Arabidopsis thaliana: one gene and its partners. The protein of the gene in region 1 interacts with the protein of each later gene in a pairwise test. Each region holds a gene or a part of one and is shown in the gene's direction. Other genes may lie near its edges. The genes, in order: FER1, AT5G40590, ORA47 and TOC132.

Region 1 (4,276 bases):
GTAGTTTGTAGCATCTCCCGGGAAGATTCCAATCGGCAAATCATATTCTTTTAGTAACTCAGGCAACGGCTTCTGCATTTTCCCTGTCAACATGATGACAAATGGGGAATTTCAAAAAAACAAAAAATTGAAAGATGCAGTCAGAAGAAGAATAAAAAAAAGCAAACCTTTGATTTTGTTGACCAACCATTTTGTTCCTCCTTCAATGCTCGTTGACACCGACTGGCATAAACAAAAACATTGTTTTATATGTTAGAAAAGATCACAGTTTCAAACAAAATAATCTAACCACATGAGCAAGAAGAGAAGACATTATAGGATCATATATTTGAATCATTTCTTAAGATATCATGGTTTTGGTAATTAGATGTTCTTCCTTATGTGACGTGATTTACCTAACAATGAACTCAAAACATTCGTACAACTGCATGATACCAAAATTACGATAAAGGTGGTTGATTATATCGGAACCACGTCAATAGATCAAAATCGATTAGGAAAACAGATGAATCAGATTCTATAGGATGGGTCAAAAAAAGACGTACGTTGAGATCGTTGCCGACGGAGTCAAACTGCTTGTTAGCCTTTTGGCCTAACCAGTAGGATCCAACCTTGTTGAAGATCTGATCCATATTCTCTCGAGAAAGGATAGAGAAGATTTTGAGAAAACGAAGGACGACTTTCTTTCTTTTTCTTCCGGGAAAGAATTTTGGGAACCCACCACTCTCGCACCGTTGGATTCGTTATTTGTGCACTATTCCTGCAGCCAATTAACTTATGACATGTGGCAAATACATAAACACCAATATATTTATTGAAGCAAGCAGGCAGCATTATACTGTACAAATTACAAAAAAAAGTACTTGCCTATCACTCCTCCTTGGGACTGACTATCTATCTATTGGGCCTTCAATGAAAATCAGATTAAATAGGTGCAACACAACTTGGGAACTGAAGAACCACATGGCACAAAACAGAGTAAAATTAAAGACTACAATCAATCCTTTTTTTTTGCCATTCCTCCCATGATTTTACTTGTCTATTAGACGAACCTCAGCTAAATTTGTAATTACAGTCGAAAATATTATTAAGCTCTTTAACACTTTTATAGCCTACCCTTGTCTTTGTGCATTCCAGAGTAATACGAATCGATTCAAATCAAGCCAATAAAATAAAACCAAGCCTAACTACACTTTATTTAATGCTTAATTTTTGTCCTTGCCAACATTACAACTTTTTAGAAAAACCATTTGATATGATTTTTTAACTTGGGCCGTGACATTACTAATGAGGCCCACAATGTACTTACTCCGACGTGTAATTGTCTCCGATAAAGACAAGGAACCATTTGGAACCTCTCACGCGCTTTAGCTGGAAATTACGTGGAGTTGAGCTACTCGCGACTCTATCCTATGTATAATTGTATATCAGTTTTCCGTCTCCATCAAATATCCTAGAGAGCCACGAATTTTTCCTTCTTTGTTGTAAATTATGAATATTAGGCCACATAATACGGAAAGTCTTAAAGGGTTTGGACCATTCTCAATCTTATGTTCTAGTAGCTTGATGATTTTTTATAAAAACAATATGGAAATACTTTTATCTCTATCCGATTTCCTATGTCAATATGTGTCACAGGATTTTACACGTCTAACTTATGTTGGAAACGCTATCATCTTTTCTTTTTTTTTTTTTATAGTAAACAATTGTATTTGTTATCATCTACAACTCTAAAAAATACATTTCGAAAAATAGGAGAGAGCGAGTAGGAAATAAGAAAGTGGCAACGCGAGAGTAGGAACCGGAAATGGTAAAAAGATTCTGAGGATAAAAGAGAAAGCAGAGAAACAGACAAACTTTATTTGGAGAGATGTTAACGTGGATCGAATATCCTCACGTTCACACTATCCCATTGGATGTAGCACGAGGCCGCCACACGCCCCTACATCTGGCTTTCATATCCACCCTCCACGTGGATCTCAATCCAACGGTGACCACACGCCTTTTCCCTCTTATATAAACCCTTCCTCCTTCCTCTTTCTTATCATCATCACCATCTCTTACAACAAATCTCAGGCGGCTCAACACTATCCTCTTCTACATTTTCCAACGATGGCCTCAAACGCACTCTCGTCTTTCACCGCCGCTAATCCCGCTCTGTCTCCTAAGCCACTACTCCCTCACGGCTCTGCTTCTCCGTCGGTTTCTCTCGGCTTCTCCAGGAAAGTTGGCGGCGGCAGAGCAGTGGTCGTTGCAGCGGCTACGGTGGACACAAACAACATGCCGATGACCGGAGTCGTGTTCCAGCCTTTCGAAGAGGTGAAGAAAGCCGATCTGGCCATTCCAATCACATCTCATGCCTCTCTCGCTCGCCAGAGGTTTGCCGACGCTAGCGAGGCAGTCATTAATGAGCAAATCAAGTAAGCTTCTCTTTTCTTTTCTGTCTAATTAAAGAAACGAAAATGTTTAAAGATTAGATCTAACGGAGGAGGTTGCTTTCTATTTACAGTGTGGAATACAACGTCTCCTATGTGTACCATTCAATGTACGCATACTTTGACAGAGACAACGTTGCTATGAAGGGACTAGCCAAGTAATTATTACCTTCTAACTCTAATCTTAATCTTATTTATAATAATCTTGATCGTATACTTCAAAATGAGATATATATGTCCATACTAAACATGAGTTTTTATAATCACCAGATTTTTCAAGGAATCAAGTGAGGAAGAGAGAGGGCATGCTGAGAAGTTTATGGAGTACCAGGTTTTCTATTTTTACCTTCTTTTCTGTTTTAGAAAAGTTGATAAAGACTTGTGATTCACTTAGTTAATATTCATATTGTTGGTTTGTTGTCTCTATACAGAACCAAAGAGGAGGAAGAGTGAAACTCCACCCTATCGTCTCACCTATCTCAGAATTCGAACATGCTGAAAAAGGAGATGCTTTATATGGTAAAACTTTAAGCAAATACACTATCTTAATCCTAAAATAACAACTTTTCTTTTTTTTTAAAGATACAGATATTTATTAGTTTACTAATCTTTGTTTTCAGCAATGGAGTTGGCTCTGTCTCTAGAGAAACTCACTAATGAGAAGCTTCTAAACGTTCACAAAGTAAGTTCCCTAACTTATCCATTTGATCATCAAAGATTAAACTTATAGTCATTTTCCTAATACTAACTAACACGTACTTTTGGCCAACAAAACAGGTGGCCTCAGAGAACAATGATCCCCAGTTAGCTGATTTCGTTGAGAGTGAATTTCTGGGAGAGCAGGTAAAAGTTCTTTTGCCTTTGTTCGGATTACAACTAGTGACTTGTATAATCTGTACATGTTCTGACTCAGAATATATTATGGACTATTTCTAGATTGAAGCAATCAAGAAGATCTCAGACTACATCACCCAGCTAAGGATGATCGGCAAAGGCCACGGTACGAATCAAAACCCTATATTGAGATAGTGTTCTCAGACTTGAATGGTATTTCTAAAAGCTTATTTACATTTGTTCTGTCTTTGCAGGAGTTTGGCATTTCGACCAGATGCTTCTGAACTAGACTTGGACCTCTATAAGTTCACTTTCAGATGACCAATGTTGGGGTTAAAACAGAAGAACCCGAAGATTCTGTAAAAGCTTTAGATTGAACATTATGGACTAATAAGATTGTAGTAGTAAGCTTTGTGTTCAAGATGGTTTTTGTAATAACTTCGTAAGCTTAATCAATGAAGTTTTTGTTTTAGTATATTCTAACTAGCTATAAACCTACGGCCAAACAATGCGTAACTAAGAAAATAGTGAAAACTCAGACCTATCTAATTAAACATAGAATATTTATGATCCAACTTGAAAGAGTAAGCATAACGAACCTGTTTATGAAGAACATGTAAAAGAAGCATGAAGCGTATGTCACTTTCCACCGAGAAGGACAAGCTGGTCACTGGGATATAACTGAACAGCAAACAAGAACAAGATCACTGTCACATCAAAGCAAAAGAGATGCTCTTACTTTGATTCCATGTTGAACAGTAGAAAATCATTTCTAACCAAACAAAGACCTGTCTGTTCTACAAAGAGCTGACAAATGTACGAAAATGAGTATCCATAAGAAGTTCATGACGTATGAAAACACCATTAAGCTTTTCATGTACAGATTCTCCCTTAGTGATTTATCTTTTCATCATGGTTCTTCAAACCACTAAGCATTAAGTAAAGATTGAGAATCTTATTTGTATAATGACGAAGAAGTCCCTCGCACGGGAACAATCAAGATTGGA
Region 2 (3,204 bases), about 16 Mb from region 1:
GCAAGATTCTTCATCATGGCGAAGACTAAAACAAGAAGCACAGTAGCCGAAAAGGTTTGAACAGTTCCTAGCTCATTCCCTATTCTCCGGAAATCCTGATCAGTTCAGAAATCCCGAGGAACACCCACGATTCGGACCCAAAATGTGATGGCCGATGGGTAGTCCTTGTGTATAATCGGTTCCCACCTTACAATAGAAAGCATCCAATGATTATAATTGAAAGTCTCCGTTTTCATCACCTCAAGAATATCTTCCTCTCTCTCGAAATCTAACCTGAACGTTCCCAATCCCAAGTCCCTCCCAACCACTTGACCCTCTAGTTTCCAGATTCTAGGCATCATCAAAACTAGTGATCCAACACTCTGAACGTCAGGATTCATAATCTTTCCGATAAGTGTCGTCCTCTTTAACCTTCTGATTAATTCCGAGTTGTCAAACATGCGAACTCGAATTGTTCTTGGCAGGGGCTTAATGCCCTTGCCATTGTTTTCTCCAAACCGCGACATGGTACCGTAAGAAACCGAGTTTGATCGTATGTAATGTCAATGTGTGAGTGTGACCTTGTCTGAATATTAATCTAATTTATAACACATAAGATCATCGGTGAAACTGCTACATGAATGAATCACAATTCGAATCATGAGGATCTCTTACATAATATTAACATAAATTGACAAGTTATTTTTGCATGATTGAATTCCATTACTGTTCCCCAGTGATTCTAATTTTTTTGACTAAGGAAACCATATCAATAATCAAGGATTCCGTAATCTGTTTATTATGACATTTCTATTACAGGATCCATTATGATTCATCCCACACGAAGATTTTCAAACTTGTGATTGTGAGCGTAACATAATCGAATCGATTACAAAGATATAAACTAACTAAAATATGTTAATTTATATTTTGTTTTTTTATATATATATATATTTATGATTTTAATAAAACAATCATATTATTTTAATGCGTTGTTGTTTTTGTTTTCACAATTCTATTATTATTTCGAGCATCTCTTATTTTTGTATCTCCACCAATTCTTTTATCATTTTTTATCATTTCTTATAAAAAAGTGTAATTCAATCATTTTACAATATAGTATGTATGCATTCCAAAAAACATTATTGTATGAAACGAAACGAAACGAAACGAAACGAAGGAGTAGACGGTGGATATCAGCCTTAATTAATTAGAGTCAAAGCATTGTGATTAGTTTGACTTTTACATCCGTCACTATGTCAACGTTAATGTATTTATCCCCAACTTGCTAATGATAGAACAATATTTATTTTGATTTATCTTGAATTTCAACAGGTTAATTAGCTAATTATAGTTATAACATTTAAAAAAAACTCAGATGCGTGAACAAGATCGCAAACTAATTCCATGCATAATGCATCTCTTGACTTTGAAATGCATTTCTTGACTTCGAATCCCAAATGAACCATTTTGTTATATACTTAATATATAATATATTATATATATATATAACTTAAAGCGTGACATTGTTCTCCCAATTATATAGTTAATCACTATAAACTACAACTTGGTTTGATAGTCAAATTCAAAACCAAGACTCAATATCACTAAGTCTTCTCCATTAACGCTATAAATAGATTGAAATCCTAAGCTAATTACAATCACAAACACAAACACAAACAAAACGCCTCTCAATACTAAATCAAGAACATTGAATAAAACAATGTCTTCACGACAATCGGTGAGGCACCCGAGTCACAACCATCCATTGCGCGGTCACAAATGCGAAGCCAAAGACGAAATCATCTGCTCCGGTTGTGATCTCGATCTGGTTGGTGCAGCTTTCAAATGCACAAAGTCATCAGATTGTGATTACTTCTTGCACAAGTCATGTTTTGAACTTCCACGTGAAACCAACCACAAATCTCACCAACCCCACACTTTGACTTTAATCTATTCCCCAAAGTCAACGTACACGTGTAATGCTTGCGGCGAATACGGATCAAGTTTCACGTACAACTGTTCAATCTGTCAGTACGATGTACATGTCGGATGTGTTTCAATGCCTGAAACAGTGAAGCGTGAAGATCACCCACATCCACTTACTCTTCTTTACGGTTCTCCTTATAACCAACCCGGTTTAGTTTCCAAATGCGATGTTTGTGAAGACATTGTACCGGATAATCTCTGGTCGTATTATTGCAAGGAATGTGATTACGCTACGCATTTACACTCATGTAAGAAAGAGGAAGAGGCAAAGAAAGAAGATCAAAAAGGAGAAGGAAGTAAAAACTCGATGAATTCGGAGTTAGCTGCAATGTTAGAGGCTCAAAGAGAAGTGGAGAGGATGCAGATTGAGATGCATTTGGCGATGCAAAGTGCTTTGATTTCGAAAAAGGCGAATAAGGCAGCTCTCAATTGCATCTAATTCGAAGAAGTTGGGATTCTTCAAATTCTCTTTACTTGTGTCTGTTTTTCTTCTTTTTGTTGCTTTTTCTTGATTTATGTTGTTGTTGCTCCTGCAAACTTTTCATGTTGTTGTTGTTGTTGTTTTTTTCTTTGAAATTGTTATCTGAAATAAAAGAATTATCAGTTTTTTTTTTTGAACGATTATTGCTGCTTTCGTTTTTGTAACCATGTTACCTTTGCATACTATGTTTCAAGTTCCATAATCCATTTTATATTACTATAGGAAAAATATATAAGTATTGGATCACCCCTACTTATAGATTAAAAATATTGGGAATAAAGTATTGAAATTGTGAGATTTGGGGTTATTTAAAGTAGTTTGTGTTAGTGTTATCGATGTGTTAATAACGGATGGTAAAATAAAATCTAAAGTTTAAGATTTAATTATATCTATATTATCAATATAGTATTAATTACATTTTATTTTATATTTCTGTCAATGTTATTTGTTCGTAAAATCAAATTGATCTCAAAACTGAATAAAAAACAAACAAATCCAGACCTTGCAAATGCAAACACACAATTAGAAGTGATGATGTCAAGAAAAACACACACACAATTAGAAGTCACATAATCATTAGGGAGTTAACAAATGGGCTCATTTTGACAGAAGTTAAGCCCATTAAAGTAAAGATAGGCCCATTTATAATAGAGCCTCAAAAATAGTTTAATTGAGGAAGAAGAAAACTCTCTGCTAAAGTTGCTTGCTTTCTTCTTCTTCTCCGATTCGAGCTTCCTTCCTCTCAGCAAAACCTT
Region 3 (3,392 bases), on another chromosome or scaffold:
TTATTCCTTGATAATGCTCTTCGAGCAGCGTTGACAGCAACATCCACGTCCTCCGTTGTAGCTGCAGGAATATCACCTATCTCATCCAACACATACAAATCCTTGGATCAACTTCAACTAAAATTCATGGAAAGAAAGTAGTCGATACAGCAAAAGATAGTCATGAATAGAGTTAGGAGCAAGTAATATCTCCACATCGAACTAAGAAGTAAACAAAAGTATACATTTTTACTTGGATCTAATCGAGCTGTGGCGGATTTTGAGAAAAGCGCTTACCAATGACCTCTTCAGTAGCTGGATTAACGATCGGGATTCGCTTCTTCAAGATGGGTTCTCTCCATTCGCCGTCGATGAATAGCTGGCGAGTAGGCATCGGAATCGCCATTGTTCTTATCTGAATCTAGAGCTCCGGAGATGGAGTTGCTGCTGCTCACTGGATCGTGGATTCGTGGTGCACCGTGCACGCACTTCAAGATTTGGACTTTATAAGTAGCTTTCACTAATGAAGAAGAGTAGGAGGATCAAAACGAAAAAGCCTCTCTTTTTTCCTTGTTCTGCTGACACCAACCAGATCAACTTTTTTTAATTATAACTCTTTTACTAATCTAATTAAAAATGTGTATTTAGTTCCAAAATAATTAAAACAGAGATCAAATTTTCATATTATGAACAAAAATATATAGAAATTAGAAGAACTAAAAATCATACACAAAGTTAATTAGAAAAGGATTAGAGATCTTTAAACGTCACTTTTTTGTTTTGTTTTTTTGCAAGATAAGAGGTGAATCAAAATTGAAAAAGGAAATAAACATGTAATATATTCCAAACGTTGAGTAAAATCCTAAACCGGCAAGGATTAGGTTCCGTAAACCTTATAAATAGAGAGTTCGTATAGTCTTTGTTTTCCTCATCAATACTCAAATAACTCATCGACTTATATTCCTCAATCTTCCTTCTTCGATTTTCTTAATTTGTGATCTTTTGATCGATAATGGCGACCACAACAACAAGAATCTTCTCCTTCATGCTCATGATGATGAGCTTCACCGTTCTAATGGGATGTTGTTGCTCAGCGAAAACCTATAAAGTTGGTAACTCGGAGGGTTGGGGGCAATCTGTTCCGTGGGTTCTGAACAAATAAATAATAGTAACAAACGATTTTCCCAAAATGGAAATTGATTATTGAATCTAAGGGAGACTGTTCTTACACAAGGTTGTGTCACAAGTTCATTAGTAGTGGCTATCTCGAGCAAAGTATAATGAAAGTTAGTAGTGGCCACTGGCCTTCAATTCAATTATTGCTCCATCTTGAGAAGTGGGATTAAAAGAAGGTAACTTTTTTTAACTTATTTGGAAAACAGAATGCGTAAACAAAAGAGATAGCTACTGCTCTAAATAGTGTTCATGTATGAAACTTCTGTTTTGGTTCCACCTTTCTTCTTCTACGAATCTCAAGTTATGATCAACAGACGACTCGCTTCTTTCTTCAAAACAGTGAGTCATATACTTGCTTCTTAACTTCTTAATTAGTGTCCGCATCAAAAATGTCATGAGCCTAACCATTGATGCAAACATTTATAATAACAATACTTATGTGTGTCCGATTCAACGCCCAATAATCTCTAAAATACAAAAGAAGAAGTAGTCTTAAAATTCTAGAAACAGAAGTCGCGACGAAAATCTCAGTATTTAAAACAAACGTGCCTAAACAAATAGAGATAATCATTCAGATATAATGCAAAAAGACAAAAGAGAGTTGAATTAAATCACGTGGAAAACAAGGAACACGACAAAGCAGAACAGTCTCACTATTCCCGCGTTAGCCACTCAATACAATCCGCCACGTGTCCCATCTTCACGCGCCAGTCAGCGTTGATCTTCTTCCTCACTTGCCACTTCCACTTCTTCATATATAAATCCCACACAGCCGCAAATTCGAAATCAACCAGATATAACAGAATTAACCTACACAACTGAAACTCGAGTTAAGAACCGGAAACAGAATCCAATTCAACCAAACCGAATCGAACCGAACCGGAGTTTTTATCCAATGGTGAAGCAAGCGATGAAGGAAGAGGAGAAGAAGAGAAACACGGCGATGCAGTCAAAGTACAAAGGAGTGAGGAAGAGGAAATGGGGAAAATGGGTATCGGAGATCAGACTTCCACACAGCAGAGAACGAATTTGGTTAGGCTCTTACGACACTCCCGAGAAGGCGGCGCGTGCTTTCGACGCCGCTCAATTTTGTCTCCGCGGCGGCGATGCTAATTTCAATTTCCCTAATAATCCACCGTCGATCTCCGTAGAAAAGTCGTTGACGCCTCCGGAGATTCAGGAAGCTGCTGCTAGATTCGCTAACACATTCCAAGACATTGTCAAGGGAGAAGAAGAATCGGGTTTAGTACCCGGATCCGAGATCCGACCAGAGTCTCCTTCTACATCTGCATCTGTTGCTACATCGACGGTGGATTATGATTTTTCGTTTTTGGATTTGCTTCCGATGAATTTCGGGTTTGATTCCTTCTCCGACGACTTCTCTGGCTTCTCCGGTGGTGATCGATTTACAGAGATTTTACCCATCGAAGATTACGGAGGAGAGAGTTTATTAGATGAATCTTTGATTCTTTGGGATTTTTGAATTCCCAAACATAATATTTTTTTAGAGCGAACTGTGAGATTTTCCTTGGAGTCATGGAGAAATCTGGAGATTTTTTGTAACACGGAGCTCCAATGACCCGGGAATTTCTTTCGTTTCGGATCCGAATTTGATGTGGATCATATTCACACCTATATTTTTTCATTTTTTTGTTGTAAAGAAAAATCGGATAAGATTCTAGTAATAAATGTTAAAAGTCCATTTCATTATTCTGAAGAATATCCTTCGAACACGATGAGTTTGGAAGATTATATTATCCGGCCCAAAATCTTATAGTTGGGCCTTAGTCATTAAACATTTTTCTCAGCCCATTGTTTTAAAAATTGATTTTCGTGATAAAGTAGTTAACTTAAGTGAAGTACGAAGGTTCCCTTGGCCTAATTAAAACACAAGGGGGTTTCTATAAATGAAATATGATAAAATATCTTCCAAGCATTTCGATAGTATTGATGACAATTACAAAGTTCAACATCAATAAGTCAAGAAATTAGGATTGGAAATCAAGGAAGAGAAACGGTCTTCAAAGAAAATAGAATTGAATCGAGAAAAATATCAGTAATCGGAAAAAAAAATGAAAAAAAATTGGGGTGGATAAGATTCCCATCATTTTCAAATTGCCACCTGATTTTCGGCTTAAATAAGAAAAACCATCACTTTCAATATAAACCACTATTTCATTCGAGACAAAATAAAAAAGAAAAAATAAAAACCACTAGCTAAACTAATACTAATAATC
Region 4 (6,767 bases), on another chromosome or scaffold:
GTGGGTTGGGGAGGGTAAATGGACTGTAAAGAAAGGTAATGTTAGCTCAACAGGAAGATGTTTGAGCTGCAGTGAGCAGTTAGCTTGTGTAGATACCAATGAGGTAGAAACACAGAAGTTTGTGGATTCTTTGGTGGCTTTGGCTATGGATAGGAAGACAAAGATGAATTCATGTGAGACAAATGTGGTCTTCAGCGAGTTTCAGGTTAGAGATGGGATTCTCTTAGCTTGGTTATAATAAGTCTTGGACATTAAATATTGCATGATAAGCATTTAGAGATAGGTACACTGGTTGGAGTTTTTGCTGCGAATTGTCATCAATCTTGAGTATTCAAATGTCGATATTTGTTGAATGTTGCTATCTTATTTGGCAGGACTGGCTTGAGAAACATGGAGATTACGAAGCTATAGTAGATGGAGCAAATATTGGGCTCTACCAACAAAATTTTGTAGATGGCAGTTTCAGTCTTTCACAGGTTCTCCCATCTTTTCTGGGGTACTTGTTTTTCTTCCTCCATATTTTTAGAATCCATTCCTTGCTATACTGATATCACATACATGTGGGATAGAGCAGCTTGAATCTGTGATGAAGGAACTTTACCGTGAAAGTGGTAATAACAAATGGCCCCTAATTCTATTGCACAAGAGACGGGTCAAGACGCTTTTAGAAAACCCAACTCACCGGAATCTGGTTGAAGAATGGATTAGTAACGGTGTCCTGTATGCAACTCCACCAGGTTCCAATGATGATTGGTATGAACTTTTAGCTTCTCTCAGCACCATTATTTCGACAAAAAACACAAACAATGTTTGGTTACTACACTCATCTTTTGTTTTTTTTACCTTTCCAGGTATTGGCTGTATGCTGCTGCTAAGCTCAAGTGTTTGCTTGTGACAAATGATGAGATGAGAGACCACATTTTTGAACTCTTAGGGAGTACTTTTTTCCAAAAGTGGAAAGAAAGACATCAGGTAAAGTTATATAAACTTATATACAATATGTAACTTTTTATACTAAAAGTGCAACTTTGAGAAGTCTACAATTAGAACATTTGGTTTATGGTTTTGGTACAGGTCCGGTATACTTTTGTGAAAGGTAACCTGAAGCTTGAAATGCCGTCTCCTTTTTCGGTTGTCATTCAGGTTTGTTTACCATCTCAGTCCTTTTTTTCTCCGGTTTCGATAGTTTCTCAATTACGTTTCGACAAAATCAGGAATCAGAGAAAGGGTCATGGCATTTCCCGGTCTCATGCGAAAACAATGAAGAGTCTTCAAGAACTTGGATGTGTATTAGCAGACAAAGTATTTTAGATTCACCTAAGAGTAATGGGAAGATTCCTTAGTAGCTGCACCAGCTTATTGAGTTCATGTATCATTTGTTATGAGTTTTCATTCTTTGTCCTTTGAAGATTAACACAAAAAACGTTCATTGGTTCTATAATAAGGGACTGAACTTTTCTCATTAGAAAGAACACAAAAAATTGTAGTAGACCAAACCGAATCAGACCGGGTTGGTTAAACCGAATTGACGCACGAGGGTTTTCTATTCCCTTTCACGGCTTCACTCACTCTACTTTATATAGTCCACGTCAGCATCATTTCACGATTGCATCAACGAGTCATTATCAACCGTACGATGCTTAAACCCAAACTGATCAGGACCGTTGATGAACGTCTCTTATCTCCTTCCCCGTCGTAGTCGCAGGCTCGCAGCCGGTAAAGCGCATGAAAGGATCTTCACACTTTTTCACCTTCTCTCTATTTCTCTCTCTCTCTCTCTCTCTCTATCTCTAACTTCTGGTAAGGCTTCTCTCCATTTCTCTTCTTCTTTCTTCGTCTTCTTTCTTCTGTTTTGGTTTTCGTTTCCTGTAATCAACAAAGTTCTTCTTCCATGTTTGGAGATCCCTATCACCGCTTAGACCTGTGTTTAAGCGATTTGGTTAACTTCAATTGAATTTTAGTTTCTGGAATTGGTAAGGGATAAGGATTCTAGGATTCGTGGTGATTAACTCTGATCTAGGTTTCTTTTAGCTGTGTGCTCGTTTTTTTTTTTTTTTGGTTGTTGGAATTTATATTGATGGTTAAAGCGTAGTTGGTAATTGGAGTGATTTCTGATCTCTGATTATTGTATTTGTGGCTTTTGTTTCCCGTAGCGGTGGTGATCTAGAAAATGGGAGATGGGACTGAGTTTGTGGTTAGGTCAGATAGGGAAGATAAGAAGCTTGCTGAGGATAGAATTAGTGATGAGCAAGTAGTGAAGAATGAGTTGGTGAGATCTGATGAAGTAAGGGATGATAACGAGGACGAGGTTTTTGAGGAAGCGATTGGTTCAGAGAATGATGAGCAGGAGGAGGAGGAGGATCCAAAACGTGAATTGTTTGAATCTGATGATTTGCCTTTAGTGGAAACTCTTAAAAGTTCTATGGTTGAGCATGAAGTGGAGGATTTTGAAGAGGCAGTGGGTGATTTGGATGAAACGAGTAGCAATGAAGGGGGTGTTAAAGATTTTACGGCTGTTGGAGAGAGCCATGGTGCGGGAGAGGCTGAATTTGATGTTTTGGCTACTAAAATGAATGGTGATAAGGGGGAAGGAGGTGGAGGTGGTTCTTATGATAAAGTTGAATCGAGCTTGGATGTTGTTGATACCACTGAGAATGCTACATCAACTAATACTAATGGTTCCAATTTAGCAGCTGAGCATGTGGGTATTGAAAACGGAAAGACTCATTCTTTTTTGGGAAATGGAATCGCCTCTCCTAAAAATAAAGAAGTGGTGGCTGAAGTTATCCCTAAAGATGATGGGATTGAGGAACCATGGAATGATGGCATTGAAGTCGATAATTGGGAGGAAAGAGTTGATGGCATACAGACAGAACAAGAGGTTGAGGAAGGTGAAGGAACAACTGAAAATCAATTTGAGAAACGGACAGAAGAAGAGGTTGTAGAAGGTGAAGGAACAAGTAAGAATCTATTTGAGAAACAGACAGAACAAGATGTTGTGGAAGGTGAAGGAACAAGTAAGGATCTATTTGAGAATGGTTCAGTATGTATGGACAGTGAGTCCGAGGCAGAAAGAAATGGTGAGACTGGTGCCGCCTACACAAGTAATATCGTTACTAATGCTTCAGGTGACAATGAAGTATCAAGTGCTGTGACTTCATCTCCATTGGAGGAATCTAGTTCCGGGGAAAAGGGAGAGACTGAAGGGGACAGTACTTGTTTAAAACCAGAGCAACACTTGGCTTCTTCGCCGCACTCATATCCTGAGTCAACTGAAGTTCACAGCAATAGTGGCTCCCCTGGGGTAACTAGTAGAGAACACAAACCAGTTCAAAGTGCTAATGGAGGACATGATGTTCAGAGTCCTCAACCAAATAAGGAGCTTGAGAAGCAGCAAAGCAGCAGAGTACATGTAGATCCAGAGATTACAGAAAATTCACATGTGGAAACAGAACCTGAGGTAGTAAGTTCTGTTTCACCAACAGAGTCTAGAAGTAATCCTGCGGCATTACCACCTGCTCGTCCAGCAGGTCTTGGTCGTGCTTCTCCTCTTTTGGAACCTGCATCACGTGCTCCTCAACAGTCTCGCGTCAATGGGAATGGGTCTCACAATCAGTTTCAGCAAGCTGAAGACTCTACCACTACAGAGGCTGATGAGCATGATGAGACCCGCGAGAAGCTCCAGTTGATCAGGGTAAAATTTTTGAGGCTTGCACATAGACTAGGGCAAACCCCGCATAATGTTGTTGTTGCTCAGGTTTTATACAGGCTTGGATTGGCTGAGCAGTTGAGGGGCAGAAATGGAAGCCGTGTTGGTGCTTTTAGTTTTGATCGCGCTAGTGCCATGGCAGAACAGCTTGAGGCTGCTGGACAGGATCCACTTGATTTTTCTTGTACGATTATGGTTCTCGGAAAAAGTGGGGTTGGTAAAAGTGCAACGATCAATTCTATATTTGATGAAGTGAAATTTTGTACTGATGCATTCCAGATGGGGACAAAGAGGGTTCAAGATGTTGAGGGTTTGGTTCAGGGAATTAAGGTACGGGTGATTGACACTCCCGGTCTCTTACCTTCCTGGTCTGATCAAGCCAAGAATGAGAAGATCCTGAATTCTGTTAAGGCTTTCATCAAGAAGAATCCACCTGACATTGTACTATATCTTGATAGGTTGGATATGCAAAGCAGAGATTCTGGTGACATGCCTCTCCTGCGCACCATAAGTGATGTTTTTGGTCCTTCGATATGGTTTAATGCCATTGTGGGTTTGACTCATGCCGCTTCTGTTCCACCAGATGGCCCAAATGGCACTGCTTCTAGCTATGATATGTTTGTTACACAACGTTCTCATGTCATCCAGCAGGCCATTCGCCAAGCAGCTGGAGATATGAGGCTCATGAACCCTGTTTCTTTAGTTGAGAATCACTCAGCTTGCAGGACTAATCGGGCAGGCCAGAGAGTATTACCGAATGGCCAAGTGTGGAAGCCACATTTGTTGCTACTCTCATTTGCATCTAAGATTCTAGCAGAAGCAAATGCTCTTTTGAAGTTGCAAGATAATATTCCAGGGAGACCATTTGCAGCTCGGTCCAAGGCTCCGCCATTACCATTTCTCCTTTCATCGCTTCTGCAATCAAGACCACAACCTAAGCTTCCTGAACAGCAGTATGGTGATGAAGAAGATGAAGATGATTTAGAAGAATCATCAGATTCAGACGAAGAATCAGAGTATGATCAGCTTCCTCCGTTTAAGAGTTTGACTAAAGCTCAGATGGCTACGCTTAGTAAATCTCAGAAGAAGCAGTATCTCGATGAAATGGAGTACCGAGAGAAACTTTTAATGAAGAAGCAAATGAAAGAGGAAAGAAAGAGACGTAAGATGTTTAAGAAATTTGCTGCAGAGATTAAAGATTTGCCTGATGGGTATAGTGAAAATGTGGAAGAGGAGAGTGGTGGACCTGCATCAGTTCCAGTTCCTATGCCAGATTTATCTCTACCTGCGTCTTTTGACTCTGATAACCCTACTCACCGCTACCGGTACCTTGATTCCTCCAATCAGTGGCTTGTTAGGCCAGTCCTGGAAACTCATGGGTGGGATCATGATATTGGTTATGAAGGTGTGAATGCAGAACGGCTCTTTGTTGTAAAAGAAAAAATACCAATATCTGTCTCAGGTCAAGTGACAAAAGACAAGAAGGATGCAAATGTGCAGCTAGAAATGGCCAGCTCGGTTAAACATGGAGAGGGTAAATCAACTTCCCTAGGTTTCGACATGCAAACTGTTGGAAAGGAATTGGCTTATACTCTTCGAAGCGAAACGAGATTTAACAATTTCAGGAGAAACAAGGCTGCAGCTGGTCTTTCTGTAACACACTTGGGTGATTCGGTTTCTGCGGGGTTGAAAGTCGAAGATAAGTTTATTGCTAGTAAATGGTTCAGAATCGTAATGTCTGGTGGAGCTATGACTAGTCGGGGAGATTTTGCTTATGGTGGTACTTTGGAAGCTCAGTTGAGAGATAAAGATTATCCGCTTGGTCGGTTTTTGACTACTCTTGGACTTTCTGTAATGGATTGGCACGGTGATCTTGCTATTGGAGGGAACATACAGTCTCAGGTTCCCATTGGACGTTCCTCTAATTTAATTGCTCGTGCTAATCTGAACAATAGAGGAGCAGGGCAAGTAAGTGTTCGTGTTAACAGCTCCGAGCAGCTCCAACTTGCTATGGTTGCGATTGTTCCTCTCTTCAAGAAGCTACTTAGTTATTATTACCCGCAAACGCAATATGGACAATGATTAAGAAACATTTAGGCTGATTTCACTTCCATCCCTTTGCACTGGAGTATTAGGAATCGATTAGTCACAAGAACATGTTAGAGTGAGTTGAAAAGGTACACAATCTGATCTCTATATCTTACTGTGATTACTGATTTCGATATTTTCGTTTTCTTGGAAACCCTCTTAATGGATTTTGCTGAGCGTTGATGTGCTTTGGTTTTGAACAGGATCTGTCTGGTAGCAAGAGACCAATTGTTGGAGGAAAGTTTGTGTCTTGAAATAGCCAGAACATAACACGTTCCTTGTCTGATATATAATAGCTCAGTGGTTTGTTTTTCTTCTATTTCTAAGACCTTGTGATCTCCCTTATGAATGAAGCATATCTACTTTTGTTCATGTCCCTCTCCAATCATTGATGCATTATATCATAACAACATTTAGTGCTCACAGTGCTAGAACGTTAGGCTTTGTAACAACTAAGTTTAATGCCGAGTATAAATAGGGATACAATAATAGTCCATAAATTCTCCAATGAATCCAGGTATAGACTTTTATAGTATTACAAAAGGACCCAAGAACAATGTAAAAGAGAAAGAAAGAGTGTAGAGTATATAAGTATTGAAAACACATTCAATCAATTGCAGACTGTGAATCTGCAGGTCCCGGAATTAGCCTTGATGAAACGAATAGCAGTCATGAGGACATCGTGTTCCGAATTCCCGAGGAGAGCCAGATTGGTATATGTGATCACAGCGACGGAATTATAAGGAAATCCTAGAGAGTTGTATGAATTGAGCAATGCAGTTGTTGCCTCTCTTAGAAGTGTCTTATAGGCTTCTCCTCGCCCGTCAAGCGCTTCTCGTACTGTCATATCTGTGCCGTATATTCTCCCGGCTACTAGCCCAAATGCAACTGCGACCTTTGTGTCTGGACCTATCGCCCTCCAGTAGCATCTGTACTCAGGTTTCATCCACAACCTATATCACAAAGCCAC

The links.
Region 2: the proteins of FER1 (region 1) and AT5G40590 interact in a two-hybrid assay, tested with the Arabidopsis thaliana proteins (one large-scale study listed by BioGRID).
Region 3: the proteins of FER1 (region 1) and ORA47 interact in a two-hybrid assay, tested with the Arabidopsis thaliana proteins (one large-scale study listed by BioGRID).
Region 4: the proteins of FER1 (region 1) and TOC132 interact in a protein complementation assay, tested with the Arabidopsis thaliana proteins (one large-scale study listed by BioGRID).

Annotation. Positions count from the first base shown.
Region 1 is NC_003076.8:227,431-231,706, reverse strand, and holds FER1 (ferretin 1), read left to right. Parts: upstream 1-1,655; 5' UTR 1,656-2,112; coding exon 2,113-2,420; exon of another isoform or gene 2,421-2,444; intron 2,445-2,509; coding exon 2,510-2,593; intron 2,594-2,705; coding exon 2,706-2,766; intron 2,767-2,866; coding exon 2,867-2,954; intron 2,955-3,055; coding exon 3,056-3,117; intron 3,118-3,212; coding exon 3,213-3,278; intron 3,279-3,371; coding exon 3,372-3,435; intron 3,436-3,523; coding exon 3,524-3,558; 3' UTR 3,559-3,754; downstream 3,755-4,276. Other genes in the region: AT5G01610 (hypothetical protein (Protein of unknown function, DUF538)), read right to left, coding at 1-83, 168-222, 546-632.
Region 2 is NC_003076.8:16,250,812-16,254,015, reverse strand, and holds AT5G40590 (Cysteine/Histidine-rich C1 domain family protein), read left to right. Parts: upstream 1-1,581; 5' UTR 1,582-1,702; coding exon 1,703-2,407; 3' UTR 2,408-2,698; downstream 2,699-3,204. Other genes in the region: AT5G40595 (uncharacterized protein), read right to left, coding at 1-95, 240-506.
Region 3 is NC_003070.9:28,142,189-28,145,580, forward strand, and holds ORA47 (Integrase-type DNA-binding superfamily protein), read left to right. Parts: upstream 1-1,662; 5' UTR 1,663-1,808; coding exon of another isoform or gene 1,809-1,910; 5' UTR 1,911-2,050; coding exon 2,051-2,638; 3' UTR 2,639-2,870; downstream 2,871-3,392. Other genes in the region: ALDH10A8 (aldehyde dehydrogenase 10A8), read right to left, coding at 1-76, 277-385; AT1G74929 (uncharacterized protein), read right to left, coding at 1,809-1,910.
Region 4 is NC_003071.7:7,210,513-7,217,279, reverse strand, and holds TOC132 (multimeric translocon complex in the outer envelope membrane 132), read left to right. Parts: upstream 1-1,662; 5' UTR 1,663-1,800; exon of another isoform or gene 1,801-2,153; 5' UTR 2,154-2,170; coding exon 2,171-5,791; 3' UTR 5,792-5,886; intron 5,887-6,000; 3' UTR 6,001-6,221; downstream 6,222-6,767. Other genes in the region: PRORP2 (proteinaceous RNase P 2), read left to right, coding at 1-205, 375-476, 575-753, 852-972, 1,075-1,143, 1,215-1,343; AT2G16630 (Pollen Ole e 1 allergen and extensin family protein), read right to left, coding at 6,408-6,750. UniProt on the Arabidopsis thaliana protein: GTPase involved in protein precursor import into chloroplasts. Seems to recognize chloroplast-destined precursor proteins and regulate their presentation to the translocation channel through GTP hydrolysis.